Arabidopsis thaliana: one gene and its partners. The protein of the gene in region 1 purifies or fractionates together with the protein of each later gene. This does not show direct contact. Each region holds a gene or a part of one and is shown in the gene's direction. Other genes may lie near its edges.

Evidence for each region.
Region 2: the proteins of PREP1 (region 1) and AXS1 fractionate together in Arabidopsis thaliana (co-fractionation; one large-scale study listed by BioGRID). This does not show direct contact.
Region 3: the proteins of PREP1 (region 1) and RANBP1 fractionate together in Arabidopsis thaliana (co-fractionation; one large-scale study listed by BioGRID). This does not show direct contact.
Region 4: the proteins of PREP1 (region 1) and AT3G62510 fractionate together in Arabidopsis thaliana (co-fractionation; one large-scale study listed by BioGRID). This does not show direct contact.

What each region holds. Positions count from the first base shown.
Region 1 is NC_003074.8:6,624,005-6,634,867, reverse strand, and holds PREP1 (presequence protease 1), read left to right. Parts: upstream 1-2,703; 5' UTR 2,704-2,993; coding exon 2,994-3,279; intron 3,280-3,545; coding exon 3,546-3,720; intron 3,721-4,094; coding exon 4,095-4,269; intron 4,270-4,397; coding exon 4,398-4,530; intron 4,531-4,610; coding exon of another isoform or gene 4,611-4,648; intron 4,649-4,660; coding exon 4,661-4,731; intron 4,732-4,953; coding exon 4,954-5,037; intron 5,038-5,133; coding exon 5,134-5,224; intron 5,225-5,335; coding exon 5,336-5,856; intron 5,857-5,933; coding exon 5,934-6,098; intron 6,099-6,168; coding exon 6,169-6,387; intron 6,388-6,459; coding exon 6,460-6,587; intron 6,588-6,823; coding exon 6,824-7,013; intron 7,014-7,674; coding exon 7,675-7,758; intron 7,759-7,846; coding exon 7,847-7,944; intron 7,945-8,118; coding exon 8,119-8,383; intron 8,384-8,472; coding exon 8,473-8,635; intron 8,636-8,720; coding exon 8,721-8,901; intron 8,902-8,992; coding exon 8,993-9,064; intron 9,065-9,148; and 3 more. Other genes in the region: PARC6 (plastid division protein), read right to left, coding at 1-52, 155-523, 734-856, 948-1,052, 1,128-1,265, 1,343-1,456, 1,756-2,058. UniProt on the Arabidopsis thaliana protein: ATP-independent protease that degrades both mitochondrial and chloroplastic transit peptides after their cleavage. Also degrades other unstructured peptides. Specific for peptides in the range of 10 to 65 residues.
Region 2 is NC_003071.7:11,862,107-11,870,007, reverse strand, and holds AXS1 (UDP-D-apiose/UDP-D-xylose synthase 1), read left to right. Parts: upstream 1-3,009; 5' UTR 3,010-3,164; coding exon 3,165-3,440; intron 3,441-3,598; coding exon 3,599-3,691; intron 3,692-3,792; coding exon 3,793-3,900; intron 3,901-4,179; coding exon 4,180-4,294; intron 4,295-4,369; coding exon 4,370-4,503; intron 4,504-4,591; coding exon 4,592-4,693; intron 4,694-4,802; coding exon 4,803-4,895; intron 4,896-4,984; coding exon 4,985-5,120; intron 5,121-5,211; coding exon 5,212-5,324; 3' UTR 5,325-5,731; downstream 5,732-7,901. Other genes in the region: HDT4 (histone deacetylase-related / HD-like protein), read right to left, coding at 6,301-6,350, 6,446-6,587, 6,679-6,737, 6,831-6,866, 6,951-6,970, 7,083-7,303, 7,396-7,466. UniProt on the Arabidopsis thaliana protein: Together with AXS2, catalyzes the conversion of UDP-D-glucuronate into a mixture of UDP-D-apiose (UDP-Api) as the main product and UDP-D-xylose to a lesser extent, via a cycle of oxidation and reduction.
Region 3 is NC_003076.8:23,678,354-23,685,827, reverse strand, and holds RANBP1 (RAN binding protein 1), read left to right. Parts: upstream 1-3,892; 5' UTR 3,893-4,113; coding exon 4,114-4,265; intron 4,266-4,394; coding exon 4,395-4,546; intron 4,547-4,633; coding exon 4,634-4,759; intron 4,760-5,279; coding exon 5,280-5,509; 3' UTR 5,510-5,765; downstream 5,766-7,474. Other genes in the region: PMR5 (Pmr5/Cas1p GDSL/SGNH-like acyl-esterase family protein (DUF828)), read left to right, coding at 149-510, 788-959, 1,042-1,220, 1,294-1,452, 1,548-1,884.
Region 4 is NC_003074.8:23,119,463-23,125,615, forward strand, and holds AT3G62510 (disulfide isomerase-like protein), read left to right. Parts: upstream 1-3,368; 5' UTR 3,369-3,390; exon of another isoform or gene 3,391-3,726; intron 3,727-3,873; 5' UTR 3,874-3,875; coding exon 3,876-3,998; intron 3,999-4,093; coding exon 4,094-4,312; 3' UTR 4,313-4,329; downstream 4,330-6,153. Other genes in the region: AT3G62499 (YTH family protein), read left to right, coding at 457-687; AT3G62500 (F-box protein RMF), read left to right, coding at 961-1,492, 1,699-1,815, 1,890-1,922, 2,035-2,205, 2,305-2,412, 2,510-2,579, 2,667-2,732, 2,818-2,904 and 1 more.

The sequences.
Region 1 (10,863 bases):
CAACACCTTCTGATGCTATGAGACATTCGCATATCGTTTTTGCTTTATTAATCTACACAAGCATACTGAATGTTATGCTTTATAAGCAGATAGAGTAGAGAAGAAATGGACCAATCAGTCTAAATTTAACAAAAGGAAAGAAAACGAGATATACCGTTTCATTTTGCTTGCCTGAAAATCCAACAGCGATGTGACCAAGTAACACCATGTAGAAACAATTAAAATCAATAACAACTCTTTGATTGTGGGATTCCAGTGATTTTTTATTTTTCCGTGTAATGGCTAAATCATCCCATGGAAGAAGATCGACAATCTCTGTGGCCAATAACCTGCTAATTGCCTGGCTCAAAAAGCATGGCCAGTCTTGAATTTGACATGAAGCTTCAACACTAAGGCCCTGTCTGAGCAGTTCGCGTAGCGCGGCAATTGCACCTCGCCTCCTCTCTGCATTTTCTGGCGTGCGTGGCAGGCCCAGTAGATCCAATGTGCAAGGTGGTGCAAGCTCCTCTAGTGACTCCTCAATCTATAAATATCAATTTTAACCCCTTAAAACCCAATATGCTGGTAAATTATGCTTTTGGACAATACGTACTTATATGTGAAGCTCCTAAACATGATGCGATTTACAGTAAGGCATGATCATGCACTTTTAATAATTCAAGCCAGTAACAGGGCTAAAAGTAAACTCAGAGAAGCTTTATATATACTAATGCAAGACAGTAGAACCTGTTACCTGAGTTAACAATGCAAGTTTCCCAAGAGTAACTTTACTCTTCAGAAAACTTTGAGCACGAGCAAGAGCTTCAAATCCTTGAGAGACCTTGTTAACCTCGAAAGCAGCCTTGGCAATTGCACACTAAATGGAAAACAAACATATTAGAGATAGAAGAAGCAGAGGATAGTGAAAGTAGATAACTAGTTCCCATTCTTAGTTCATTTGATTTTACCTCAGCAAGTGCCATAGATAAGAATATATCATGAATATATGGCTTTGAATCAAGGTTCCTGAGAGCAGCCCGGCCAATATCCAGCACAAGTTTTTCTTGTCCAACCTGAAGCATAGTAGCAGAAAGATCAGTACAAAACATTTGCAGGGATAAAACGCAATAAAAGGTCAGAAGTAGTACCTCTTGAAGAAGGCATAGAGCACCAGGCAACCATGCCCACGGAATTCTGAGAGGAGATTTAGGAGCAATCTTTTCTTTTAGGTTACCAGCATATTCTGATTCAAAAAGAAGTTTATCCCTAACATCCATGAGAAGATCCTACACATTAAGAACAAAGTATCAAGAAACTGAAGCCACATTCCCTGTCCAACTCTAGTGATACTATAGGTCTTAACCTGGCGAGCTGCAGCAGCTTCCATTGTATAACCCTCTTCAGCATCAGTTTTTTTCAAATTTATAACCGACTTAACGACCTCGTCTTTCTCAGCTTGCTCAGAAACTCCGATAAGCTGCAAAATCAATACAATTAACAGTATCCTGGAATAATGTCTAACAAACGAAACGCTACATTCTTTACACTCTATTGCAGAAATGAACTATGATACAATATTAAATTGCCAAATCAATACATCCATCTCGTTCTACGCGCTAGAGACTACAAATTGGAGGAAAATGTTTCTATTTCAACAAAATTTAGAAGGATAAAAACAAGTTCCACTTGCACTTCAACGAGGAGCTAAGTAGCAAATCGCGAGAGATAGTAGTATCTACAGAGATTCCGAAAAGTAAGTCAGTCGGAGCAAAATACCTGGTAACACGTAACCGGGAGTTCGATTGTAGAGGTAGATGCAGCGAGAGAAGAAGTACGAGACGGCGCATTGTCGACGACATGGATACCACCACCAGCAGCATTCAACCTCCTCCGTCCTTCTCGCTGAAACCGCCGCAAAGATAAACCAGAACCGAAGAATTCACCGGATTCAGAACGAACGACGAGGAGACCTGAGATCTGAAGCTCCGGGCGATCTACGACGAAGCTGGTGCTGCGATTGGAGATTCCGCAAAGCAGACAAGAAGAAGGGAGAACTGGAAATGTGTAAGCTACTGGCATTGCGCAACAGCTCCAGAAAACGAACGAACCCTAGAAGAAGTAGAGTGAAGCTGGAATCATGGTACAATTTGTTGGATTTCTTCAGAGGAGAAAAAATCGGAAATTTGGTCTCAAGGCTTTTGAGTTTTGACAGTGATTTTTGCCTTTTTCTGAAAGTTTCGTCTTGTGACGATAATAAGGTAACCCGCTGGCCGAAAGAGAGGCTCTGCTAATCTAGGACTAGACGAGACGAGACGTGGTCACGTGATCACGCCACGTGGATAATAAAGAAACATCTGGAAGATTATTTTATCCGTCCCTGGACATGGGCCTAGCTCTCGGCCCATAACTAATGTGCGAGAGAAACTACTGCAAGCTCATCGCATGCTACCAGTAGTCTAGTACTGATCAAAGGTTTAATTTGTGTGTAAGAAAAAACTTATATATAATTTAAAATTTGTTTAAATCTGATCAATATGATTTTTTCTGAATCAAATACCTGGAAAGTATATGTCTGGTGTAAACTTTTAACTTGATCAGATTTTGTAATACTTTCACTTAAGTTTAATATCATGAAAAAAGATTTAAGATATTTTGTAGTCATTATATTTTTGGAGGATAGCAAATTGCAACACTCAAACACATTTGGCTATATGAGAACCACGTTTCCTTTCTTGCAAATCAGCACCTCTTTTTTGTCCCGACTTAAAAATTCAGAAAAATAAAATGCCAATTTAGTAAAATAGAGAATATTTTTCACAATAATTTTGTGTGTTGTACAAGAAATGAGGTATTTCATTTTATTTTATTTTACTTTTTTCCTCTACAAGCAAAAACACACAACTACACAAGGATAAAACCTCTTGCCGTTGGGTTTATTTAGCTTCTTTGCAATATCCTTAATTTCGTCTCCGTCAGTAGCAGTCTCCGCCGGGAATATTTTTTTTCCGGTAGCTATGCTCCGAACCGTCTCTTGTTTAGCTTCGCGCAGCTCGTCCTCTCTATTCTTTCGCTTCTTTCGTCAGTTCCCTCGCTCTTACATGTCTCTCACATCGTCGACGGCAGCTCTCCGTGTCCCCAGTCGCAATCTTCGCCGAATTTCCTCTCCCTCAGTCGCCGGTAGACGTCTTTTGCTCCGACGAGGTTTGAGGATTCCCTCCGCCGCAGTTCGCAGTGTCAATGGGCAGTTCTCTCGCCTCTCTGTTCGCGCCGTCGCCACACAACCCGCTCCACTTTATCCTGGTTGGAATTTTTCACATATACTTCTTTTTTTCAATCTGTTTGAAGTTTAATTGCTAATTGATTTGTTCTCTTAATTCGGACATGTTGATTTGTGGCACTTGTGAAATTGTGGTTCTTACTTTAGGATAGGTTGTGAATTGTAGATAGGTGTGGTCCGTGTGGTGCATTTTTCATCTCATGCTTTGTGTCTACTTTGTAATCAAATGGAGCCATGTGTAACCTCTGCTGATGCGTGATTTTCCTTATTTTTGGTTGTTTGGATTCAGATGTAGGTCAAGATGAGGCTGAGAAGCTTGGATTTGAAAAAGTGTCGGAAGAATTCATCTCAGAGTGTAAATCAAAGGCGATACTCTTCAAACACAAGAAAACTGGTTGCGAGGTGATGTCTGTGTCAAATGAGGATGAGAACAAGGTCTTCGGTGTTGTTTTCAGAACTCCTCCGTAAGTTTACTTCATAATAATTTTTACTCTCTGTAAATTTGACCTGAGTATGTATTAGGCAATTGAAATTGGTACCTAAAGCTTCACTCCTTGAATTTAACTAATTGAAATGGTCAAGTTTATCTCTACTCATCAAAGCTTTTTTTTTCTGATTAGACCTAGTCATTTCGTTTCTTCTTCTAATATATTGGTACTTGTAAAGTGGTCTAAGTTTTGGAGGTTACAACTTGTCAAATTACTTAACGCTTTGTTAAAAGTCGATATGAGCAACTGCACTTTCAGTAGATATTGGTCCCACAGGCACCTCCTTGTGAAAGACTTGCAAAAACTAATAATGGAAGCAATTTTAGATCATAGTTTCGTTGTTAATGCAGGAAGGATTCCACTGGCATTCCGCACATACTGGAACATAGCGTTCTATGTGGGTCAAGAAAGTACCCGGTAAAAGAGCCATTTGTTGAACTACTCAAGGGAAGTTTGCATACTTTTCTAAATGCATTCACATATCCTGATAGGACCTGCTACCCAGTTGCTTCCACCAATACAAAGGTACAATGAGCCAAACATTAAGTCCTTCTTTTGTTGTCCTCAGTGGGCTAACCTCTTTCTTTCTGTTATTGTTATCTAAAGTGAGTCTATTTCTGATCACAACTCATCACTATCACTATCTATGGTAGGATTTTTACAATCTTGTCGATGTATATTTGGATGCTGTCTTCTTCCCCAAGTGTGTGGATGACGCTCACACCTTTCAGCAAGAGGGCTGGCACTATGAACTTAATGATCCCTCGGAAGACATATCTTACAAAGGTTTTATTTACCTAGGATTCCATTTTAGAGCTCTTTTCCTCTACTTTTCTTAGTATCGATGATATCTTTTAGTTTATCAGCTACTTCAGATACCCACTCATCCTATCTCATTGTTGATGTTTGATTTCAGGTGTTGTTTTTAATGAGATGAAAGGGGTCTATTCACAGCCTGATAATATTTTAGGGCGAATTGCTCAACAGGCAAGTATTGTGTTTTGCTTACTATAACTAGAAGTTTCTCGTTGTTGGTTTAACCTGATCTTGGGTTTTGACCTTATTAATCAACTAAATGATATAGCCATCATGAAAGAGTCGTTTGGACACTTGGAACAAAAACCTTGTTAGATAATCTGAGACATATTTGAATTTCCTTGATATAGTGGTTCTGATGAAATCAGCTACTACTGTTTTCACTTTTATTAGGCCTTATCCCCAGAAAATACATATGGTGTTGACAGTGGAGGTGATCCAAAAGATATTCCTAATCTGACATTTGAGGAATTCAAGGTTTGTTAGAAGTCAAATTAATATGCTAGTATATTTCTTGTAATGTGTAACTTCTGATGCATACTAAGTATATTTCTTGTTTTGGGACAATTTTAGGAGTTCCACCGTCAATATTATCACCCAAGCAACGCCAGGATCTGGTTCTATGGAGATGATGATCCCGTTCACCGCCTCCGTGTCTTGAGTGGTAAAGATTGATATCTCCTTTGTCTTACTAGAAAGAATCCTCATATTTTTTGTGTTTGTCGTCTATGTCGATTTGAAATACATCTTATCCCTGCGTTTCTTATATGTGCAGAATACTTGGATATGTTTGAAGCAAGTCCATCTCCCAATAGTTCAAAGATTAAATTTCAAAAGCTATTCTCTGAGCCTGTCAGACTGGTTGAGAAATATCCTGCTGGTCGAGATGGTGACCTTAAAAAGAAGCATATGTTGTGCGTTAACTGGCTATTGTCTGAGAAGCCCTTGGACTTGCAAACTCAACTTGCACTTGGCTTCTTGGATCATCTTATGCTGGGGACTCCTGCTTCACCACTAAGAAAGATCTTATTGGAAAGCGGTTTAGGAGAAGCTCTTGTCAGTAGTGGGTTGTCAGACGAACTCTTGCAGCCCCAGTTCGGTATTGGTTTGAAAGGTGTGTCCGAAGAGAATGTTCAAAAGGTTGAAGAGTTGATCATGGATACTCTGAAAAAGTTGGCAGAAGAAGGGTTTGACAATGATGCTGTGGAGGCATCCATGAATACAATTGAGTTTTCTTTGAGGGAAAACAACACAGGATCTTTCCCTCGTGGTTTATCACTTATGCTCCAATCTATTGTAAGTTAATATGCATTTTATGCTTACGTGTATGTCTATTCAGGTATCACTCCTTATTTGATTATTGTTTTTTTTAGTCAAAATGGATATACGATATGGATCCTTTTGAGCCATTAAAGTATACGGAACCATTGAAGGCCCTGAAAACCAGAATAGCTGAGGAGGGATCCAAGGCTGTCTTTTCCCCACTGATAGAGAAGCTTATCTTGAACAACTCGCATCGTGTTACCATAGAGATGCAGGTGATCTTTTACAAGTTTCTCGTTGCTATATAATGTTTCTTTGCTTTTGTGCTAACACTAGTTTTGCCAGCCTGATCCTGAAAAAGCTACTCAAGAGGAAGTGGAAGAGAAAAATATCCTGGAAAAAGTTAAAGCAGCTATGACAGAAGAAGATCTTGCAGAGCTAGCACGTGCTACAGAGGAGCTGAAATTGAAACAAGAAACTCCTGACCCTCCTGAAGCATTGAGATGTGTCCCAAGTTTGAACTTGGGTGACATTCCAAAAGAACCTACTTATGTTCCCACCGAGGTTGCTTTTGTTTTTGTTGTATTTCCTTATTTCCCGAGCTTGCGAAGTTTACTGATATGTTTTAAACAATAGGTTGGAGATATTAATGGTGTGAAGGTTTTGCGGCATGACCTTTTCACCAATGATATTATCTATACTGAAGTAGTCTTTGATATTGGTTCGCTGAAACATGAGCTTCTTCCACTAGTACCACTTTTCTGGTATGATTAAAGATTTCTTATGATTTCTTTATGAGTTTCTTACCAACTTTTTCCAGAAATGTGTATGGTGGGAATGCTAAATGAAGAATGTTGTTAGATTCTCTGCCATGCATTTTCAAAAGCATGGGAATTTTTTTATATTTTAGGGTGTACGTTGACAGCTGTAATAACGAATGTTTTACTTCTGTTCATACTGTATTGATATACTAACTCTGATAATAAATGTATTTTGACAGTCAATCATTACTGGAGATGGGCACAAAAGATTTGACTTTTGTTCAACTTAATCAGTTGATTGGAAGGAAAACGGGAGGGATATCAGTTTATCCCCTTACATCATCAGTGAGGGGTAAGGATGAACCATGCAGCAAAATTATCGTACGCGGAAAATCCATGGCTGGGCGTGCTGACGACCTTTTTAACCTGGTACTTTGTCATTTAAAAATCCCTTGCTTTAGCTTATCGCATTTTTCTCTAATTTTATGTATGTTGGCTTATGGGATATATAGTGCTGCCTACGTGATCACGATCATGTTTTCTTCGGTCTCCATGGCCCTGTAGTTAGTTTGCTAAATGTAGTTTACCAATTTGCTTGTGTTTAGATTTGTGTATGTTAGGTTATGGGATGTGTAGAGCTGTCTACCTGATAGATTTTTCTTTTGCTTGGGTCTCCATGAGATACAGTGCAGCTGTTACTGTGAGTCTGTGACACTGTGTAGATCTTTATTTTTTTCCTGTTTTTCCAAAATACAAAAGCGCTGCCTCTCTCATCTCTTTGCCCTTGTCTCTTTCTTCTCTAAGAAGTACTTGATGTTTTCTCGATGTCTTCGCTATGAGCCTATGACTACTGGATTATGGTAACAGTCACTCTGACTGCAAACCTGTTTTTTTCTGTTAAGATATAATGTAACCTTGATATAGAAACAGTTGTAGCGTATGGTGATTGAAGAACTTTTCAAAATGTTCAGTGTCTTTCATGAATCAGTACCATGATCCAACTAGACATTTATTCAATCCCATATTCGATTTTTTTTCTGTCAAACTTCTAGGTTGGCTCTTATCTTCATTGCTTTTTGTCTTCCTGCAGATGAACTGCTTGTTGCAAGAGGTTCAATTTACAGATCAGCAGAGGTTTAAACAGTTTGTCTCTCAAAGCAGAGCACGGATGGAGGTATGTAGTAGGGGTTTTCTTTTCTGTCTTTGCATGATAAGTGGAACTTGAAAGTAGTAGTATAAACATCACTTCACATTCTATGCAGAACCGATTGAGGGGAAGTGGTCATGGAATTGCTGCGGCGAGGATGGATGCAATGTTGAACATTGCTGGATGGATGTCTGAACAGATGGGTGGTCTCAGGTTGGAATTTGATAATTGTTTATTTAACTTTTAATTTGGCCCTTATTTATATCGTCTTCTCTCTCTGGTCTTGATCTCTGTTGAGAATGAACTTTATTCACATTTTAGAGTTTATCTCTACTATTCTTTTGATACTTGTAGAACCTAACAAAGTTGAGCATCTCTCTTTTGTAGCTATCTTGAATTTTTACATACTCTTGAAAAGAAAGTGGATGAAGACTGGGAAGGAATTTCATCCTCGCTTGAGGAGATCAGAAGATCTCTCCTTGCTAGAAACGGTTGCATAGTTAATATGACTGCTGATGGGAAGTCTCTCACAAATGTCGAAAAATCTGTTGCAAAATTTCTAGATTTACTCCCTGAGAACCCGTCTGGTGGGCTTGTCACTTGGGATGGTCGACTTCCTCTGAGAAATGAAGCCATTGTAATACCAACCCAGGTAAAAAAAAGACGTTTATATAGTAATATAGAATGTGGTTGGGTTTATTATTTTTGATACAGTAACTCGCTCTCATACTCCCTTTGCAGGTAAACTATGTTGGAAAAGCGGGTAACATATACAGCACCGGGTATGAGCTTGATGGCAGTGCGTATGTTATATCAAAGCATATTAGCAATACATGGTTATGGGATCGTGTTCGTGTAAGTGGTGGTGCATATGGAGGTTTCTGTGATTTCGATTCGCATTCAGGTACAATAACTGCTTTCTACTCTCTTGAATATGAAAAGAGTTACGTCAATTAATATATTCTTCTATTGGCCATATCTTTGTTCAGGAGTATTTTCTTACTTATCGTACCGGGATCCAAACTTGTTGAAGACACTTGATATATATGATGGAACTGGAGATTTCTTACGTGGCCTTGATGTGGATCAAGAAACACTCACTAAAGCTATTATTGGCACCATCGGTGATGTTGATTCATACCAATTACCTGATGCCAAAGGTTATAGCAGGTAAATGATGTTATTTTATTTTGTTTCTGTTTGCCTATTTGAACAAACATAACGGATCCTGAATCAAAATTGTTGAATCTCTTTCACCCAGTTTGTTGAGGCATTTACTCGGAGTAACTGACGAAGAACGACAAAGAAAGCGTGAAGAGATACTAACAACAAGGTTGGTTAAATTAAGGACATTCTCTCAATAAATTTTCTTCTGCATCCTAACTAAAAGTGTTAATTAACTTTTGTTGTTCCACAGTTTGAAGGACTTCAAGGATTTCGCACAAGCAATAGATGTGGTTAGAGATAAAGGTGTTGCGGTGGCTGTGGCATCCGCGGAAGACATTGATGCAGCGAACAATGAACGCTCCAACTTTTTCGAGGTGAAGAAAGCTCTCTAAACAGATTGGACAACTTTCAGTAATACTATTTACGATTGAGAATCTCATTAGATTTCTCTTGGTTTCTTTTCTACCGGAGTCAATGTCTTGTCAAAGCTATATTATTGAATGTCCAAACGTTACGAATTTTCACAGTAAATGAAGCATTTTCACAACCAATGTCCAACCTTAAAATAATTTACTCATTTTCTTCCCTTTCCACATTGCTCTTTTTGGTCAGTTTTAATTTTATTAAAAATTGATAAAAGTACATATGCTAAATCGCCAACGGGAAAACAAAAACCCCTGAAAAATTAAGTTGGCGAAAAATGCTGAAATTTCCGAAGACAACAACCCTAGAAAAAAAAATCCAAGTAGTTTCGTAATGACTTATTGCATTGCGACAAGACAAATGTTACGAAAATATATTAGCATGTGTTACTTTCTATTAGATTCTTTCGTAAATTCATTTTTTCCCATTTTTCCTCAAATTTATTTAGTAAGTTTTCCACTTAGTCTAAAATACTTTCATAGATTCGTATACATCATTCTATCATCCAGTTTACATTTTCATCGCACAATACAAAAATATTAGGGCCTGCCCAAAATATTATGTAGTAACTACGAAAATTTATGGAAAATTTAAAACTAGGAAAATGGAAATGAAGAAAAGGAAAAGAAAAAATATATATACACTTGTCTAGAAACGTTCATATGCAATATATGTTACCACTAAAGAATGAAAGTATGTATATAGGGAAAATATTGTTTTCAGATTTGTAACCCTAATAACCACAAAGTCCTTACTCCTTGGAGGAAGCATCATCAAGCTTTGAAGATCAAGTCTTACTTCCTATGAGCACCTCCAACGCTGAAATCCACTCTCAGGTTCTTATTTATATTATTTTAATTATTTAAATGTAATTATTATTATTTCTTAATTAGAAATAAAAAAACTGACTAATTACACAGTATCACATCTCATATGGGTTTCTCATCACAGGTGCTAGAGTTCTCGTTTTAGAATCGTATCTTTTCGGTTCTATTCGCTCTCTTACTAGTTTTTAAATTATTTTTATTATTTAAGTTATAAAAGAAATATTTACAGTCTCCGTTGGAAGTGCTCTAAGATCCCAAGCGATATAGAATAGATAAGAGATAATGTAAAAAATTCTAAATTAATAAATAAACAATATAAAATAAGAAAATTTTTGGTCTCAAATCGTATTAGTGTCAAAATAACAAAAATCTATAAGATACTAATTATTTTACAAATATATATATATATATACATATAATTTCATTCATAACATAAATTAATAATCATTTAATTTATGTAGGTTACATATAAATATAATATATATCAATGTCAGCTTTCAGTTTTACTTTTTAAAATAATATTTTGTTAAATTACATCACTAACTTTATTCTATAAAAAATATTATGTTATGTCTTAAACTATCTTATTGTAGTATCGTCTATAAATCTTCATTAAAAATAGCCAAAATTTTCTGTAAGTTTTTTAATTTTTCTGAATATGCATCATTTTTCATTTTGATAGTATCATAAACTGATCAAATACAACAATTGAGGT
Region 2 (7,901 bases), on another chromosome or scaffold:
TCCATAACATAACGTGCCAAATAGAATAATCGATTTTGGCCGAATTAAGTTCATGGATGGTTACGATTGAGGTGTAAGTCGTAAAGCGGTTTTGGTAGAAAATCTTGTGGATTCGATTGGAGGATCAAGAGTATAGTCAAGACATTGAAATTGCATTAGAATTGTTCAAGAAATATACTAGAATGAAATAAAGTAAAATGAATTCTTTTATCTTCATGGGCTAGTACCTAGTAATACCAAAAGAAATGGTATTTTTGGAGAAATTAGAAATTGATCGTGTGCCATTTAGTTAAAGGAAGAAATACCAATTTTTCCAATCCAGTTTCAGGCCAATCCAACCCATTTTTAAAATTCTTAAATCTTTATTGTAGAACATGGTTTTATGTTGATCAAATAGTGGTGTCCGTATAACTTTTAAGTGATTTGCAATCATATTTGGGCTATATCTAAACCTGAGACTTTGAGCCGACCGGTTTATTCGATTTCGGTTTGTCAGTTTTGCAGATTATTCAGAAAACAAAACCTATCCCGAATCAAACTTATTCCACATTATTCAGTTCGTTCGATTCGGACACTCATATATATATATATATATTTTTATTGTTTTCTCCTTTTATTTGTTTGCATCTAACTAGTGTTCTTAATTTTCCTTTTCCATAAGAAAAAACTAGGAGTATGTTTAGTTGTATTTGTAATCTTTGGTATCATTTAGGTGTAACTTGGGATTTGGGAAAAATACATGATTCAAGTTTGGTTGGAACGTGTTGTATGATAATGAAGAAGCACTGAAGCATTGATCAGTCAAAATGCTCGGGAAAAGGATGATTATATGAATGTTGTTGCATAGGGTACAACTTTGTGATAAGAAACAAACAACCTCGCATTGTATTATTTATTGTATAGCGAGTAGGAAGTAGTACTATACGATACTTCTTCCTATAAAGTTATATATTTATAAAGGTATAAATAAATATATACCTACGAAAAGAAAAAGTAATTAAATTTGTAAATGGATTTGTGCAAAATCCAAATTTTAAAGAAAGGTATGGTTAGGATATTTGATGAGAGTTTCGAGGGTTTTGCTTCTCGGAAAGGTACCTAATTATTCATCATTTTTTCTCTTCTTTTTTTGTCTCAATCCTTTTTTGAAAAGACCAAAAAAAAAAAGCAACGAGAAATTAGCATCTTTTTTTCATCATATGTGTATGTATATCAATGATCGAACGGTCGTCAGCTCACTGTGAGGCAACACATGAATCCAATTAGTTCTCAAAATTTATCCATTATCCACAATTCCACATAATGGTTAGCGATATTCATATAAACTCTCTTCATAATGATTTTTTTGTTGAAAAAACTTCTGATACTACGACATGCAAATTAGAAGCAGTATTAAGAAACTTACTTTTTTTTTTGACACACTATTTAAGAAACTACTTAAGAGTTAAGAGTTAAGACTGAAGCTTAATTAAAATAACGTCAATAAAATCATATTTTGTTTAAATTATTTCCCTTTTTGGGCAAATAATTAAATTATTTCCTAACCAGTTTAAGTTTCGTAATGCAAAATGGAATCTCTAATGTTGCTGGGTCAAGTTTTCTTCTACGTAGAAAAGACTTTTTGTATTGATTCCCCAAAGCCATTCTTCTCAATGTAAATTTGATTTTATCAGAAATAATAACCCAAAAAAAATACTCCAAATGTCTTTTCAATATAAAAATTAATAATTTGACTTGATATCAATCGGAAATTACAAGAGAGTATGGGAAGTCGTGGTACCGGAGAGAGTGCGGCTCTTCCTATGGCTTGGAATGCAGCAAGTTCTGATGACGAATGCTGAGAGGAGGAGGAGGCATCTAAGTGATTCGGACATTTGCCAAATCTGTAAAGGAGCTGAAAAAACAATCATACATATTCTTCGTGATTGTCCTGCTATGGAAGGCATTTGGATCCGCTTAGTTCCTGCGGGTAAGCGCCGAGAGTTCTTTACACAATCGTTATTGGAGTGGTTGTTTGCTAATCTGGGTGATAGGCGGAAGACTTGTGAGAGTACTTGGTCAACTTTATTTGCTTTGTCTATTTGGTGGGCCTGGAAATGGCGGTGTGGCAACATTTTTGGTGTTCAAGACAAATGTCGAGATCGGGTGCGTTTCTTAAAGGATCTGGCTAGGGAGACGTCCATGGCTCATGTGATAGTCAGGACACTGAGTGGGGGTCATGGAGAACGGGTGGAAAGACTGATCGCGTGGTCGAAACCCGAGGAAGGTTGGTGGAAACTTAATACGGATGGGGCTTCCAGAGGTAATCCGGGTTTAGCGTCTGCTGGTGGTGTGCTACGAGATGAGGAAGGAGCTTGGAGAGGAGGTTTTGCTCTGAACATTGGAGTTTGTTCAGCACCTTTGGCAGAGCTATGGGGAGTGTACTATGGCCTCTACATTGCTTGGGAGCGACGAGTCACACGGTTAGAGATTGAGGTGGACTCAGAGATTGTTGTGGGTTTTTTGAAGATAGGGATAAACGAGGTACATCCGCTGTCTTTCCTGGTACGATTGTGCCATGACTTCATATCAAGGGACTGGAGAGTCCGTATTTCACACGTTTATAGGGAAGCTAACCGTCTTGCTGACGGGTTAGCCAACTATGCATTTTCGTTACCATTAGGTTTTCATTCTCTTAGTTTGGTTCCGGATTCTTTACGTTTTATTTTGTTGGATGACACTAGTGGAGCTACGGTTTCACGTCAAGTGCGAATGTAATTTTCTTTTTCATTAATAAATCTTGGGAGACTTTGTCTCCCTTGGCTTACCCAAAAAAAAAAATCGAAAGTTACAAAGAACGATTTATCTAGTTAAAAAGAAGTTTTTTCTTAACTCTTAAACACAATTATTAGACTACTAAACATTCATAATTAATAATCATACAAAATGATTAGTCGAACAAATAAAATATCGCATCCTTTCCAATTTAAACGAGATCACGTGGAAGCGAGTACACACCACGCGCCGATACAGAGAGTGAGATTTCAAAATTCGACGAACCAATTTGCCTCCGTTCACATGCGATGCATCTTCTCTCTTAAATATCCACCGTCACCACTCTCTCTTCCTCTTTAGATTCTCTCTCTACAGAGAACTTGATTATTTTTTCTGATCTGAGAAAAAAAATGGCGAATGGAGCTAATAGAGTGGATCTCGACGGGAAACCGATACAACCGTTGACAATATGCATGATCGGCGCCGGAGGTTTCATCGGTTCACATCTCTGTGAAAAGCTCTTGACCGAGACGCCACATAAGGTGCTTGCGCTCGATGTTTACAACGATAAGATCAAACACTTGCTTGAGCCTGATACCGTTGAATGGAGTGGTCGGATCCAGTTTCATCGTATCAATATTAAGCATGATTCGAGACTTGAAGGTCTTGTTAAGATGGCGGATCTGGTAAAAATGCTTATCGATTTCGTTTTTTGATCTCTTGTTCTTCGGTGTTTATGATAGAAGTCTCAGATCTGATTCGTTATCGGAATTCAGATGTTTCGCAATGTATTGAGATCGGTGATGTTGTGATGTAATTCTGATGTTTCTTTTTGGATTCGCAGATTATAAATCTTGCTGCGATCTGTACTCCAGCTGATTACAATACACGTCCTCTTGATACTATCTACAGCAATTTCATTGATGCGCTTCCAGTTGTATGTGTTTTCTTCTTAGCTTCGTTCATTGTTTTGCTTTAGCTCTTGTTTTTGAAGTTGATGGAGACAGTGATGATTGTGTAATGCGTTGGTTTTGTTAGGTGAAATACTGTTCTGAGAACAACAAGCGTCTCATTCACTTTTCTACCTGTGAAGTTTATGGAAAAACCATTGGAAGCTTTCTTCCTAAGGATCATCCTCTGCGTGATGTAATGCCTTTTTGTACATTTCGCTTTCCACATGTTATTGTCTTTTTATCAATCTCATCGATGAATGTACTGAGGAACATGTTGAAGCTGACGTTTTCGTTCGTTTTAATAGCCACATTATGAATTACTCATTGGATCTCGTTAAACGTATTTTTGAATTGAATTAAGACTTTAGTCCGCTAGTCTATCACACACCCATAGAAGCTTGGAATAGTTGATATTATTCGTCTAAGGTTGGGTTCACTGTTTACTGATGTTGTTTGTTGTGCCTTTCTACAGGATCCTGCTTTCTATGTTCTTAAAGAAGATATTTCCCCTTGCATATTTGGTTCAATTGAGAAGCAGAGGTGGTCATATGCGTGTGCAAAGCAACTGATTGAGAGACTTGTTTACGGTAAGCATTTCTGTTTAAGATGATGTTGGTAAAAACAAAAGGTTTACACTTAACTTCACTTGTTTCTTGTGACAGCTGAGGGTGCTGAGAATGGGCTTGAGTTCACCATCGTACGACCTTTTAACTGGATTGGACCTAGGATGGATTTCATCCCCGGCATTGATGGTCCTAGCGAAGGTGTCCCACGTGTCCTTGCCTGCTTTAGTAACGTAAGTGTTCAAATCCAAGTATATAACCCAATGCTAGTCTGTGTATATATGCAAGCTTTTAGTTAATGCATCTCTATCTATCTTTCAGAATCTTCTACGTCGTGAGCCTCTCAAGCTTGTAGATGGTGGAGAATCACAGAGAACTTTCGTCTACATCAATGATGCTATTGAAGCTGTCCTTTTGATGATTGTACGTTCCATTGCCTGATATATAGCTTTTTGTTTACAAACTGTTAATGTTAGAAGTTCGAAGTAGTTTCAACTAAAACCTATAATGACATTGTATGTTTGTGGTTCAGGAAAACCCAGAGAGGGCAAATGGGCACATCTTCAACGTAGGCAACCCGAACAACGAAGTTACAGTAAGACAGCTCGCTGAAATGATGACCGAGGTGAGGAAGATGGATCAGTTAGGAAACTATGAAAATAGTTTGATTTCTCTGTCGCTGGTTCTCAATTCTCAAAACGAATCATGTTTCAGGTTTACGCAAAAGTGAGTGGAGAAGGAGCCATTGAGAGCCCAACGGTTGATGTTAGCTCCAAAGAGTTTTACGGGGAAGGTTATGATGACAGTGACAAGAGAATCCCAGACATGACCATCATTAACCGCCAACTCGGTAATTCTTCATAATCACCAACATGATAGATAATATGCTTTAAAATCAAAATCAATTGCTATTCTGATAGAATTTTGGACTTTGAAAATAGGATGGAACCCGAAAACATCGCTATGGGACTTGCTCGAGTCGACCTTAACCTACCAGCACAGGACATACGCTGAAGCTGTGAAGAAGGCAACATCCAAACCAGTGGCTTCCTAAACTCTCCAAGACCCCAACGAAACTCGTTAAACACGCGTCATTTTGGCATTTTACTCTATTCGATTCTATTTTTTTCATCCCAGAGAAAACTTTTTTTCTTTTTTCTTTTTAAGAAAACGATATAATCACGGTGGTTCGTTCCAAGTATACCTTTTCGTTTGTAAGTTTTCTCTTTTTGTTTGGTTTGTTTGGCCATGTATGTCGGAGCTGTCAGAAAGCAAGAGGTTAATCGTTTGTAGCGAATGATAAATGTTCGAGTGTATATTTTAAAATGCTTCGTTTTACATGTGTACAAGTACAAGAACAAATGTAATTATCTTCTGTCAAGTAACACATTGTGTTTCGTTCAGAAAAAAAACAAGTGGACTACAGAGTATGAAAGAAAGTCTAGTAGTTTTGGAACGCTCGACAATTAAATTCGATTTTATTTTTAAATTGTAATATATAAATCACAAGTAGCGTCTGTAGTCCAACGGTTAGGATAATTGCCTTCCAAGCAATAGACCCGGGTTCGACTCCCGGCAGACGCATTATCATTATTTTTATATTTTGAATTGTTTTCACTGAATTTTTAATTCAATGAAGGCAAAGCAAACTAGAAGAAAATGAGTCTTTTTTTCTTTCTTTCTAACTCATGTACATAAAATACATTGTTAGAGCATATTCTAGTTCAACTATTTCTGATTTAATATACTCCATCTACTTAGTATTGCGATCAAGATTAGATCATAACATATCGACATTGTATAGTACTTATCATGAATCAGCCAGCAACTTCGAAATTTTATGAACTTGAAAAGAGCAAAAATCATATTTCATTTAAACCCATTAACACTCCAAAATGACAACATAACATATATTATAATAATCCAAAAATTTTAAGATGCCAAAAGCCTCATAAGTCACTCAACGATTCACCAATACAGTCAAGTAAAAATTTCTATTGGAAAAATGTGACTTGGTGTGCAAATATCTTCTACTTTTTGCAAGAGGGACCACAAGGGAATGGGCATCTCTTCTTCCCTCCTGCACCAAAATGGTTTTAAACCAAATCAATAATCCACAATTCTCATCTCATATGCAAAGTTATCTTTATATATCTTAACTTTAGTTTTCGTTACCTGATGACTTGTTCTTCTTTCCACCTTTAGCTATCTCAAATGCACCATTTGGCATCTTTTTGCTCGGAGGAGCCACCTTTAAAGGTGCTTCAGCCTCTACATCTTCTTCATCTGAAGAGTCATCATCCTCGTCCAAACCCATCTAACCAAACATACAGAAAAAAACAACAAGATTACCTTTTTTTTTATACTGATTCATTGCTAATCAGTAAATACTTAAAAGAAAAATCTACCTCATCTGAGTCGGATTCATCATCTTCTTCAGGATTGATCTCATTTTGAGGCAAAGCAGCTTTTCAACAATGTCAAAGTTAGATTTCATAAGAGATACACATGTAAATATGACTACCACAAAGCAGTAGCTTAGTAAAAAAAGTAAACATACCAATTTGTTGTTCCATATATTCATCTAACTCAGAATCTACACAAACCAAAAAGCAAAAGATTAGCTTCAAGCTTCATAATAGAGTAAACCAAATCATCAACTAAAGAATTATAAACTCACCAGAATCAATCTCCTCATCCGTGAGCATCAGAAAAAAGCAGAGCAAAACAAAATCAAGGATAAACAAACAAAGCTTCAAAATTGCAAGTGAGTATGAATTTAACTAGAAAAAGACAATGAAAGAAAGGATATAGTTCGTCAAAAGCATCAAAGGTCCTGTAACCAATAAGATAGACACTGCTTGTACTGTTGTGAGAAATCTCAAACTCGTGCCCTAAGTAGAGATCAATAGAAAATTGAGGAAACTTCTGTGAGAGATTTCCAATCATAAACCCATTCTCATCATCACCAATCTTCACATAAACGGCAAAAGTCTCATCTTTTTTAACCTTCTCAACGTCACCAAGGGTAACCTAAGAGATGTTACAACAAGTAACACAATCAATATCAATCATGGATTTACACAAAGAGAGAAACTTGCAGGAATTACAAAACTGATACAGACCTGAGAGGCATGGACCATGAATCCATCTTTTTGTATCACCTTAAATGGCTTCCCTGGCTTAATCTCGATACCTAAAATTGAACATTATTCATCACACATTTGAGTACAAATTCATACAAAATCTCACAAAGATAGATGCTTTGACACCTAAACTCACAAAGATATAGATACTTTGACACCTAAACTCACAAAGATAGATGCTTTGAAACATAAACTCTTAAAGATAGATACTTTGAAACATAACCTCACAAAGATAGATGCATTGAAACCTAAACACTAAGAATGCTAATATTCCCAAACAATTGTATAGTTTTGAACACAAGAAAATGCGTATTGAGTAATAGAGAGAATTCAATACAGAAGAAAGGCAAGCTTTTGTATAAAGACCAGATTTTTAATCACAGAACGAACTTAGGAATACCAAAATGATTAACTTTAATGGCGAAAACAGTCAATAGGAGTCATTGAGGTATTCAGTAGAACTTAATAAAGATATGATTTTGAGA
Region 3 (7,474 bases), on another chromosome or scaffold:
CGTGAAGACCCATACCCAGTTGCACAGAGACAGACACACAGATGAAAAATGAAAATCTCAAAAAACTTTCTTTCTTTCTAAAGATATTTCTCCAATCTCTCAATTATTTTACAGCTTCCTTTTTTGTTTTCCACGAAAAAGCAAAAGAATGGGTTCTCTTCTTCCTCTTCTTGGCATCTCAGTAGTCTCCGCCATTTTCTTTCTGGTTCTTCAACAACCAGAACAATCTTCTTCAGCCATTATACTGAGCTTGAAGAAACGCCATGGAAGCTCCTCTGGTAGTAGTGGTAACCAGTACAGTTCAAGCAGACCATCAGCTGGTTTCCAAGGGAACAGGAGCACGTGCTCTCTCTTCCTCGGCACGTGGGTTCGTGATAACTCTTATCCTCTCTATAAACCGGCGGATTGTCCCGGCGTCGTTGAGCCTGAGTTCGATTGTCAGATGTACGGTCGTCCTGACTCTGACTACCTCAAGTATCGATGGCAACCTCAGAATTGCAATTTACCCACGTATGTACACATACTCATCTTCTTCTTCTTTCTTTTTTGTCATAAAGTTTTCTAATTTTCGTGGTTAAATCTTTGAGTTTTCTGGTAATAGTGTATACCTGTGTCGTTATTGGTAATGAGGTTCGATTTCGTCAGAATTTTACTGAGCTAAGTTGTCAAAATGTATTCTTTTGGCAAACCCATTTGAAAGAATTCTACTTTAAGATATTACGACTGCTCAAAATCAGAGATTCTGTGGTTTTAGTGTTTGATTTCTGGTCTTTCACAAATGGATTAGGTTCAATGGTGCTCAGTTTCTGTTGAAAATGAAGGGCAAAACCATAATGTTTGCGGGTGATTCATTGGGGAAGAATCAATGGGAGTCTTTGATCTGCCTTATTGTTTCATCTGCACCGTCCACTCGGACAGAAATGACCAGAGGCTTGCCTCTCTCCACCTTCAGATTCTTGGTAATGCTTTCTTCTTATTCTTCAATGGCTCACATCTTGTTTTTCAGGTTCTTCTATAAGAAAACTGTTTTTTGATGTATAGGATTATGGGATAACAATGTCATTTTACAAAGCTCCGTTCTTGGTGGACATAGATGCTGTTCAAGGCAAGCGTGTGTTGAAGCTGGATGAGATCTCTGGTAATGCCAATGCTTGGCATGACGCTGATCTCCTCATCTTCAACACTGGTCACTGGTGGAGCCACACCGGATCTATGCAAGGGTAAGTTACCACACTTCCAATGACTTGATTTTCTAGTGTGAAAGTTTCTTTATATATCTTCTTGTGAACACAGATGGGACTTGATTCAATCAGGCAATTCTTATTACCAAGACATGGACCGTTTTGTGGCAATGGAGAAAGCACTTCGTACTTGGGCGTATTGGGTCGAAACTCACGTTGATAGATCCCGAACACAAGTCTTGTTCCTCTCCATTTCTCCAACACACGACAAGTAACTCAGCCTCTCTTGTTATATTGGATCATATTTTCTGATGTTTTTGAAATGAATGTCCTGACACCATTTGTATACATTTTGGGATTGATCAGCCCGAGTGACTGGGCGGCATCATCGTCTTCAGGATCCAAGAACTGCTACGGAGAAACAGAACCGATCACAGGAACAGCTTATCCAGTGAGCTCCTACACAGATCAGCTAAGATCAGTGATTGTTGAAGTGCTTCACGGGATGCACAATCCGGCGTTTCTTCTCGACATAACACTCCTCTCTTCCCTAAGAAAAGACGGTCATCCGTCAGTATACAGCGGCCTCATTAGCGGTTCACAAAGGTCTAGACCAGACCAGTCTGCAGATTGTAGCCATTGGTGTTTGCCTGGTTTACCTGATACATGGAACCAGTTGTTGTATACGCTTCTCATCTATTAGCTTCTTTTTAAATCTCTTTCCATCAAATTATTCGGTTAGTAATATTTTAACACATTCGAAGAGAGAATCTTAAGATTAATCACGGAATCAGTCAATTGTATAAACTTTTTGAGGAAATTTTCTTTCAAATGAATTATAATTTTTATTCCATGCAAACAAAGCATAGTAACAAGAAATTTAACAATGGCAAGCCCAAAACAAACAGTATTGGGCTTTTAAAAAAATACATTCGATGGGCTTATTGGAAAAAAGCCTTTTAGGGTTTTCTCAAAACCTCTCTACTATAAATAGAGGAAATCCAACTTTAGAGTTTAAGAAGAAGCAATCCAAAATCAATTCACTGAAAAGCTTCGTTTTTAATCCTGTAGTTTTCATAGGGTTTGGTGTTCTCTCTATTGTTGTTATTGGGCTTGCCTTTTGTCTAGGATTATCATGATTTATGTTTATTGAAAGATTGGCTTCATCAGATAGTCTATGTGGATTTGTTCGTTCCCATATGATTCGTTCCCTTGAAGCAAAATCAATCGTGTTGCTTTCGTTATTTATATAATTCTCCCTATGAATCTTCGGTGATTTCGTATTTATACGATTTTTGCTGATGTTGATTTGGGAGAATCACAACTGAGCAGCTATATATTATTCGTATTGAAATCTAGATTTGGGTTTTTGTATAAGTTTTTGGAAGAACAGTGATGAGTCAGTTTACAGACCTGTAATGATTGCGGTAATGATCGCATTATTATGAACATCTAAGGGACTGAGTTCTTCTTTCTAATATGATTTAACAACTTCAATTTGTTTTTGTTGGTTAATGTTTTTTTGTTTAATCTGATAAAGAGGCTGATGAAGATTAGATATTAATGGTTACTGAAATTTCAATAAGTGTGTTGATATACTATCTTCTTGACTAGGACTGCTGAGGCTAATCTTTGAATTCTAAGGAATTATGTTTTCTCTTTTTGATTTAATGAAATTAGATTGTGGATGATGAGAACAAATATGAAAAAACAGTTATCCCTGTCTGAGGATTTTAATCCCTTTGATGATTCATTTGTAATCTGACACAACCTTCCAGTTCATATCGTTTTGGGTTTTGCTTGTTGACTATTTATTTCAGACCCTAAATTATACAAACACGAAGATTTGTCATTGAAACAACGCAGCTTCATTCAAAAACGGATTTTAAAATTGGAAATCAGACAAATGACTAAGCGGGTCCCTTTTGACTTTAGCATCAATATTCAATATTACCGTGCCAGTAATAAGAGTTCTCGAGTCCATGAAATGATGTTGTATCAGTTTTCGTTCAGCATTTCAATAAATTCACGATGTTTTGGTCAAAATATCTTACTACCTATCGACTGTTATCGGACTTCAGGTTCTACTCTTTGAGTCGTCGACAATGAAAACGTTTCTTTTTCCTACTGTAACGAGAAGGCAAACAAGTGGTATTTTGTTACGATAAAAAACAGGTCAAAAAAAAAATTTGTTAATTGAATGTTTAACACGTTTCCAAAATTTATAAATGTTCATATTCAGCTTACATTGTACTAGCATCGGCAGTAGTTGATTGAATACTAGTGTCGAGTGACATCAGCTTGATATCAAAGCATGATTGATTACATTATATAATATCCATTTGTAAATAATCCACCTCTCAAAAAAAAAAAAATTAATAAATAAATAATCCACCTCCGTTCATATATAAAGATTGTCACGGTGGTCTACCTTAACACTACAAAGGCAGTCCACGACTGAGAAAAAAAAAGCAGTTCAAATTTTTTTCGTATGTGTTAAGGATGGAGTACATTCATAGAGCATCATCTACATTCTACTCCAAGATAAATGTGGAGTATCTGTATTACTTTTAGTTTTGTAAAGAGATTATACATAATTTAAATATGGTACATTACTCATTACAGGTCTTTGAGCTGTGGCGTTCCTTAGCCATGATGTTTCATCCTCTATATTGTCGATACGAGTTCACACTTTCTAGCTTCATCTACATACCAAAATCATGAATTGTCGTATAGGGCCTTAATGGGCTTAAATGACCGAGATAATGACCTGTTAGCCCACTAGAGATAATTCAGAAGCCTAACTTTGGATATAAAGTTTAAAAACCCTGGTTCCAGTTTTTTCTTCTGGTTCTCGAAACTTCTTCTCCCAAATTGAACAACCAAAGAAGTTGCAGAGCACACACACACACTTTCAAGTTTCAATACAGAGATGGCGAGCACTGAGCCAGAGCGTGAGAACCGTGAAGATGAAACCGAAGTCAACGAAGATGAAGACACCGGAGCTCAGGTAGCTCCGATCGTTAGGCTTGAAGAGGTTGCAGTCACCACCGGCGAAGAAGATGAAGACGCCGTCCTCGATCTGTATGTTACTCGTTCCGTTAATATTCTAGTTTCCTTGCCTCTGGTTAAAGTGAGTGTTGGATTTTCGATAGAAGATGAGTGTCGGATTTTTGATAGAAGATGTATTCTTCTGGGTTTATGATTTTGTAGGAAATCGAAGATGTATCGATTCGATAAAGAAGGGAACCAATGGAAGGAGAGAGGAGCTGGAACTGTGAAGTTATTGAAGCATAAGGAAACTGGAAAAGTTCGTCTTGTTATGAGACAATCTAAAACCCTAAAGATCTGTGCCAATCACCTCAGTATGTTTGATTCTCTCTCGAAGAAGATCTTTTTTTTTTTTCTTCGAAAGGGCTAAACTTTATGTATCTTTTGTTGAAATTATGCAGTTTCGTCTGGGATGAGTGTTCAGGAACATAGTGGGAATGAAAAGTCTTGTTTATGGCACGCTACTGATTTCTCCGACGGCGAGTTGAAAGATGAGCTTTTCTGCATTCGATTTGCTTCCATTGAGAGTAAGTTTATACTTGTGAAATTCGTATACTTGTTTTTGATTGAGAGTAACGTGGGTACATTTAGTAGTATTCGATGTTTAATTTATGATAGTTGAATCAGGGAAGATGGTTTGGAAGGTATTCTTTATAAGACTCTAGTTGTGATGATTTAAGTCTCCCATGAATTGTGATTCATCAAGTCCATATAGATAGCTCAAGACTGAAATGGAATACTGCTTTTGTAGTGGCAATACTTATAATGTTGCCTCATTTTATAATTTTAGGGAGACATTGTTGTCTTGAGAATAAACATCTCAGGCCATTTTCCAAGACTCTGTTGGTCTCTGCGGTTGTGGGTCTTATCACTAAACAAATGAACAAAAGGGTTCCATGATCCTTAAGTTGTGCTAAACAACTACCATAATCGTATCTATGTTAAATTAGACGCTGACATAATCTATGAGATTAATATCCTAGGGTCTGCATCTGTCTTTTTGGTTTTAGATTCTCGAGTGGCTAACTGATAGTGTTGCATCAACAGATTGCAAAACATTTATGGAGAAGTTCACTGAAATAGCTGAAAGCCAGCAAGTAGGGAAAGAGAGCACCCAGGGCGACGAGGCTGCTGGTTTAATAGAGAATCTTTCGGTTGAGGAAAATATAAGTGAGGAGAAAGCCAAGGAAGCAGAAGAGAAAGAGCCTGCAAAGGAAGATAAAGAAACAAAAAAGGAGAAGGTAGAAGAAGAGAAGAAAACAGAGGCAAGCACTTAAGTGATCAAATTAAAATTGGTTGTTGGCATCACTAAGTGTGCTTTGCTTTATTTTAATATATTATACTTGGCACTGAACATGATGGTAGCTTCAAAAGTTTGAGTCTTTGCGCTGTGTTAGAGAAAGAGAATCTTAAGATTTTTTTTTATGTTGTTGCTGTGTAAGTGTTTGACTATTGTGTCGTCTCTTTACTGTGTCAATTTGGTTTAAGATAATAGTATTCGGCATCAAATTAGTATCCTTGCTTTCATCTTCAATCATCCGAAATGGATTTGTGGCCAGCAGGTTACACAATCTGTAATTGACATGTTTGGTGTTGCAGCAAAGGGAACAATCATGTGGTGCTTCTAAGAAGTAAAAACTAGTTAGTTAATTTTGGACCCAACAAATTTGTATGGACCCTAAACCTATAATTCGAAAGGCTCCACCACAAATAACACCATGTTTTAAGCACTTCTCTATCTCTCTTTCACCATTTAATTTCCTCTGACCATGAGCTGTTCCTGCATTGAATATCAGATTTTATCTTTTATGCCTCATTTCTAAGTACCCTTGTATGTGTTTTTCTAAACGTTTATCTTCACAATAGCACTAGTAAGTGGATGTATGATAATTGATACTTTGATGTATGTGCCAACTATTTCTTACATACAATTGTACATTGTAGGCTACAATTTGTAGCACAACTATATTATTACTATTTACTAGAAATGGCGAAAAAAACAAACAATACCGAACATCAAAGTCGAAACTAAACTTTTATAATAAATCATATTTTTTAAAAATCATATTTTAGTTAATTATATGCAAGAATACTTATATTTATATGATTATACGATTATATCCAAACCAAAACCAAAATAAAATGTGGTTTTCTAACTCCGACTCATTTCTCAAAAGTGAAAAGAACCCAAAATGCTTAAACCAAACCAAATCAAGGAACTGAACGCATAAAGCTAAGAGTTACAACATGACCAACAAGGAACAAAAGAAAATAGGTCAAAAAGAAGTAAAGAAGGCTAAATGCTTGGAAGTTGGAAAAATAAAGGCCCAAAATAAGGAGTAGTGTTGTGGTGTTGGCAACTGCAATTGCAATCCTTATTTTATGGGAAGAAGAGTCACTTTTGGTCAATAAAGTTCTTATTATAGACTCCAAATCTCTCCCCCCCCCCCCCCCTCACCTATCTACATTTATATCTTTCTTATTATTTCCATGACTGCCATTTTCATGGAAAGTCATTTTCTCGCACCTGTTTGACAAACAATTATTATACCACTCAAGTACAATACCTGCACTTCTATGTGAATAATGCAAAAATATAAGAAAACTCTTAAATGACCCTTAAGCTAATCGAAATTTAGGAAGCATTATTCTTTTATTCTTTAGTACTATAGTCTATAATATTGAGAAGTGAAAAAAATTATCATTTTAGAGAATCATGGGGATTTGTTCCCTCCGTCGCCTTGACGAGTCACTTAGTTTTGAAGATTTACCATCAAAGACCCTCCTCGGCTCCTCGTGGTTAGGTCCTGCGCACATCGAATATATATGTCGCAGGTATAGATGATATGATACTATAATATATGCTTTTTAAGAAAAACGAATAAAAGTAGTAGTATAAGATTTGATTAATAGAGAAACGTGTAAAGAGGTTTTGATGAAAAAATTGCATAGCGTTCCTCGTCTTCTACTTTTGCTTTATGTTCACGTAAAATCTTCCGATCTCTCACCCTACTTGCCTTCTTTTCTAAGCTAACTTTCATGTGACATCCATTACCTACTTCTCTTGTATTATTACCCATTTCTGATTCTCATTTGTTTATATAGTTCTTCATCTTACTAATGACAATTTAGGAACGCAGGATTACTTGATGTATTAAGACTATTATGTAATTTGTTTAATGACAAGGTCATGTGTTGAAGTTGAACCTAAAATCGAGTATATATATAGAACACACAAAAAA
Region 4 (6,153 bases), about 16 Mb from region 1:
ACTGTTTATAAATTTTCATCTTAAATGATTTTTTTTTTTACTTTTCAAATTATACCTTTAGGAACCCAACCATTTGCACCCTAATATCATATGAATATTGACAACAAAGACTACATGAATTTAAAATTTTCAACTTGCAGAATTGTAAAGATGAGAATTTGCACTCGTTAATGACGTTCCTTTCTTTTTGAATCTTATTTTGTTAATTCTTTTTTTTCTATCTTTGATTTTTTGTATCTAAAAAATCTCTAAACGAAAACGTTGCATCTGATGTACCATAGTTTTTTCGAGTAAATTTTAAATTTTATTAAAAAAAAAATGAGAATTATTAGATAAACAAAGGTTCCGTGATATAAACCCAATTAATAAAAGAAACAACTTAGGCACAATATATAGCCTAAGAAGCTTTTTTAATTTTTTTTTTTAAAGAAGAAAAGAGAGAGAATTGTTCAATTGATGCGCGACGTCGGATTTGATGAAAAGGAAGTTTTCGACTTGGCGCCTACAACTACTTTTGTAGGCCTGAAAATTCACAGTCTTCCCTCATCAGAACACAATATCTTTCTCCTCCTCTTTTGTCTTCCTTCGCCGTCGATTTTAAGGTTTTATCTTCTCCGTAGTGAAAGCACTGATAATTTCTCCAAGGAATTTACGAGGAGGATTTGGTTTGTTTCTCCTGCGTGTTAGAGTTTTACGATTTCTCTGTCGTTTGATTTCTTAATTCTATCCTCTGAGAGAACGAGAATTTGGTTTTCGTTTTCGAATTTAGGGTTGAAGAAGCGGTTTCGCATTGGGTTTGTTGTCTATTGAGCCAATTTGCTAAAGGAATTGAAACGTTGCGAGTTTTTGTTTCCCGGAGGTCCGAAGTGCGAATCTGTTTTGTTTAATGAAATTAGGGGTTTGGAATCGGAATTTGAATAGTCGTTTATGTTGACTACGCGATAATAGCTGAGATAGGACATGATTTTGAAACGGATTTTGACGACATTCGATAATCTGAATCTGAAGCGGTGCAAAATTGATTTAGAAATTGAGTATGGTAGCCAAAAGGGTGAGATTATGGTGTATAAGAAGAGACAACGAGCAAGCGTTGATCAACCATGTAGCAGAGAACCCGGAGTTCTAACAAGTAGCTCAAGCTCCTTGACCAGTAGAGAAGAATCTCAACAAGTGTGCTCTGACCAGTCCAAGTCTTCGCGTGGCAGAGTTCGAGCGGTTCCTTCAAGGTTCAGGGACTCCATTGTTGGTACATGGAAATCCTTGAAGAGTCGCAAGGAAGAGTCGACGGAGACATGTATCTGGGGAAGCTCGAAATTGCATCGAAGCAAAGACCCGAAGCTGTTTCCACGTAAGGATAACGAAGACAGCAGCGAAGTAGATTGCGATTACTGGGATGCTAACTTTGGTATGCCGAAAAAGTCCGACGCCTCGCGTAAGGGCGTGTACAAACCAGAGGAATTTACAGTCGGCGATCTTGTCTGGGCCGGCTGTGGTACAAGCGCCTGATGGGGTCTTGAAACATTGCGTCCCTGGCGCAATACGTGTCATGTTTTTTGGGTACTCTAAATGGAAAAAAATTGTCAATTGTCAAAAAGTCGTGTTAAATATAGATGTATTGTACAGATCTTTGACTTTGAAGTACTTCATTTGCTGATCACAGCCTCATCTTTATCTGTTTTTTTTACACTGTAATTATAGATTGGATGCCGATTGGTGCCTTTGTGCTTGATTCTCGAACTTCACTCCTGACTGAGAGTTTGAGTGGTCGCCTGAAAGTCCCAAAGGAAGGAACCATAGAACGGATGTTACAAAAATGTCTTATTCATGATCTTCAGAAACTTTGTCAACTGCAGGAAAAACTGTAACATATGGCTTATCTCATTTTCCAGATTTACAGCTTGTGCGACCTGTTTGTGACCTCAGTACCTGTGAGGTAAAAGACACTAATCAACTCTAATCTGTTGCTGAAACTTTTGTATTGATCTCTTGCAATAACTAAATTGCAACTAAGAGTGTTTCTGTTTTACTATGTAGGAACAATGCAAACTCTTGATGCTAGGCACATTGAACTCTTCCTTAGTGAAGGCTACAAAGATGGAAGCTGGGACTACAATCTGATTGGATCTCATAAGTTGCAGAAAAACGCAAGTGCAGCTTGTGGAGCCATATTTGACCTCAAACACCATAAAGAATCTTCATCCTCAGGTAACTTCAAATCTTCATTACTGTTATGTTCCTTTACTTCTCCTCTTTGAATCATTCTCCTTTGTCTCATACAAATTTCACATGAAACCTCTATAATAGGTATTCTCAACCTCAAGTCTTGGACCGGACAGCCAGATATTTCCCAACCTAAAGCAGTTATCGCACCCCATGCAGTTGCTGTTCACACAAGATTGCGAGAAAACGAAGGTATATAACTTTGCATCATCAACCATCTTTATCTAGAAAACACAATTACAAATAATTCTCTTGCCAAAAGGAATTGAATCCAAATTTGTTGTTTCAGTTGCGGAAATCCAATCAGTATTGTGGCATTTGCAAGAGAGTATGGCAGCCCTTCAAATGATGGAGATTGGGTGAGAATATATGTGACCATGTTTGGTGAAATACAGACCTGTAAGAAATGATTACATCTATTTAGCTGACTTGATTTGATGTATTAGGTTTATTGTGATGAGTGTGATGTATGGCCGTATGGGTGCGACAATAATTTATATAAGCGCTTTAAGGTACACCTTCATGCATCTTAACTTTTGATTCTAAGTAATGAACACGCTTGTTGAACTATCACACTAATTTGGTTATCATCTTAAGGAACTGGAGCACAACAGTTACTATTGCCCTAACTGTAAAGTCCAGCATGAGCTTATCAATATTAGAAGAACAGAACTCAGTGTTCAAGTATATTGTTAACTTCTCATGTTCTCCTGATTTTATTGTTTGCATTTCTCCATTGCTATAATATGCGAGATTTCCTCACAACCTCTTTGGGATTGGTCTACAGAAAAGGCGACACAGACTGAGCTGCCTGATGAGATTAATGTAGTCTGTAATGGCATGGAAGGAACATATATCAGAGCATTTCATGCGTACGTATTAGATGTCTCAGCCTTATTTCAATTTCTTCATTTAGAAAGGATCTTATTTGTTTATGAATTATGACTATGCAGCACAATATCGTAAATTGATTTTTTCTCTGAAAACGATAAAAAATCCGTGTTTAATCCTAGGTTTCTGTTATCATTGTCTTGTTGTTTTAGAGATTTGACCAACACATTAATCTTTGAACTATTGTTTCAGAATTGAGTGCAAGTGTGGTTCATGTGGGTCAAGGAAGCAGTCACCAAGTGAATGGGAACGGCATACAGGCTGTAGATACTAGATAGCGTAAGAGTGAAAGACACAATGCTACCTCTAGAAAAATGGCTTTGCATGAAGACTTTGATACTATATGTATCTGTATATGTAGAAGAGTATCAGTTTTATCTAAATGACTAGTCTCCAAATTTGTGGTTTATTGATTTCGTCAGAATGGTAGGCTCTTTAACTGATTTAAGGTGAAAACTACATTGGTCTTTGTTCAGTGTTAGATTTGTCTTTTGTGGGTTTGGAATGGATTAAAGAGGAGTCTTTTACTGGATTTTGTTGAATGCTAGATTTGGGTTTAGTAAACAATGAATCCTTTACTGGTTTTGAAGGATGTTATATTTGAAACTGATTAGAGCTAAACCCTCTATTGCTTAGTGGTTCTTAATTTAAGGGTTTTGCCGCAGCTTCCCTAATTTAAGCTTGTTTTCTAATACAAAGTACAAAAGCAGTGTGTTCGTCAACTATCTTCTTACTCTGTTTTCGTTTAGAGAGTTTTTGCAGAGATGAGGAGAACTATAACAATGGTGATAAAGATGTCAATACTTATGATATTGATTTCATCAATGGTGATGAATATGGTCGAGGTTGAGGTTGACCAGATTGAATCATGGGTCAAGGACTTCCAGGTTTCATTCTCTTTTTCACACATTCACACAAGCTTTATGTAAAAGAAGTATATATGAAATCAATATAACCTAACCAAAGAAAATGTTTTCTCTAGGATGGAAAAGCTGCTGTCCACAAAAATTCTCAACCTATTCCAGCTGAGAACAACGAACCAGTGAAGCTTGTTGTCGCCGAGAGCCTTGACGACATAGTTCAGGTCAGCGAGCGGAAACGTTGTAGTATACGAAGGAGACAGGACAAAGGAAGACTTCATAGTTCAGGGTTGGTGATACTAGCAGAAGATGATGAGGAAGAACACGAAAAGATGGATTAGTTAAAGCTTCCAAAAACTGAATCAAAACAATCATTATTACATTAGTTTGTGGTTGTGGATTAGCAATGTTTAAGTAGTTTGATCTATCAATCTCCTGAATTTCTAGATTGCAGATATTTTATCTCATTTTGCTGTCTCACTTGATTCGTGGGTTATATTGCTTAATTTGATTTAAACTCTGTTTTGTGTGGTTACATAGGACTCTGTTTCGCCTGTGTATAGGAAGAGAGTAATGACGTTGAGTGTACAGAGTTGGAGAAGGGTTTCGAGAAAAAATTGTAATTCTTGAATTCGTCTCAGCTTGAGAATAGTGAGTCCATGGACTTTTACCGGATATGAGTTGTACAATGCAGAGACTGATCCCGAACTGAAAGCTGTTATGAGAGGACATGGGAAAAGCCATTGGCTTCGTTTGACCGGAAAGAATTTATGAGTAGTAAGTAGCATATCTAAAGTAAACGCCATGCAAACAAAGAAAACAATGATGAAGATATAAGAGCATCCACATTGGTGGGCTTTTAGCAAATGTTCTTAACAATAATTTTATAATTTATTTTGAAGTTAAGAGTTTTGATAAGAGTTTTTTTTTTTTAAGAGTGTATTTTGTCTCTTATATAAGAGCAAAATCTTAGGCCTGGGCATTTTAACCGAACCGAACCGAACCGACCCGACTCAACCGAACTCAAACCGATCCAAACCAAACCCAATCTAAGACTCAAACAATTCGGTTGTATTTTATCTCAACCCAAATGGGTCGGTTCGGTTCGGTTTTGAACCAAACCGAACCGACAACCCAATGTCTTTATATACTTAATTAATTAATTCTATAAATAATATTACAAATAACTCTAAATATTTATTTATCTCTAACTAAAACTCTAACCCTAAAAAGTAAAAACCTAAGGTTTACTTCTAACTTCGTTTCATTTGTTCTTCCGTCGTCTCTCTCTACTCTCTACAGCCACGGTATGATTTTTAACTACTCTCTAGCAATACAATTACGCTCATCTCAATTTTAGTTAAATATTATGAGTATATGATGATTTTTTCAATCTGTACGTACACCGCAAAGTCATGGAAAAGAAAAATCTGTGTTTGCGTTGTCTTGTTTCTTCTATTTACTTAGATTTTTTAATTTTTAAGAATAGGTTTCATGTAGGTTGGGTGATTTTGTTTGTTTACAATATATATAATATATTTTAGCATTCATACCAATAATCAATGGATTTTCGTGCAAGAAAACAGATCATACATGTTTATTTAGTTTACTAATAATGAAAGATGTTTTAATAGAAACGTAATTGTATTCTTTCAATTGACTAACAATTTTATACATGTTTTGTTTGTAGATGTCTAAAAGAAACACGACTAGCAATAAAAGAAAAGAACCCGAGTCTCCAACAGTGTCGCCAAAGGCAAAAAGAAAACTACCTACAAGATCAACAGCATGGAAAGTCTTTACGAGGTTGAAAGATGATGATAATAGTTGCTCATGCAATTATTGTGGTAAAATCTATTCATGTAATCCTGCTACATGTGGAACCAGCAATATGAACACACACATGAGAAAGTGCAAAGCTTATTTGGATCATCTTGAATCTAATTCTCAGAATGTCATAGTCTCTAGTGGTGGTGGTAATGGTGCTGGCATGATAAAACCTTTTGATCAAAACGTGTGTAGGCAAGCAACGGTGAAAATGATTATCATGGACGAGTTGTCGTTTTCTTTTGTGGAGAATGATGGGTTTAAACATTTTTGTGAGATGGCTGTCCCTTGGTTTACTATTCCATCGCGAAGAACAATTACTAGGGATGTTGTTGGTCTGTACAGAGCTGAAAAA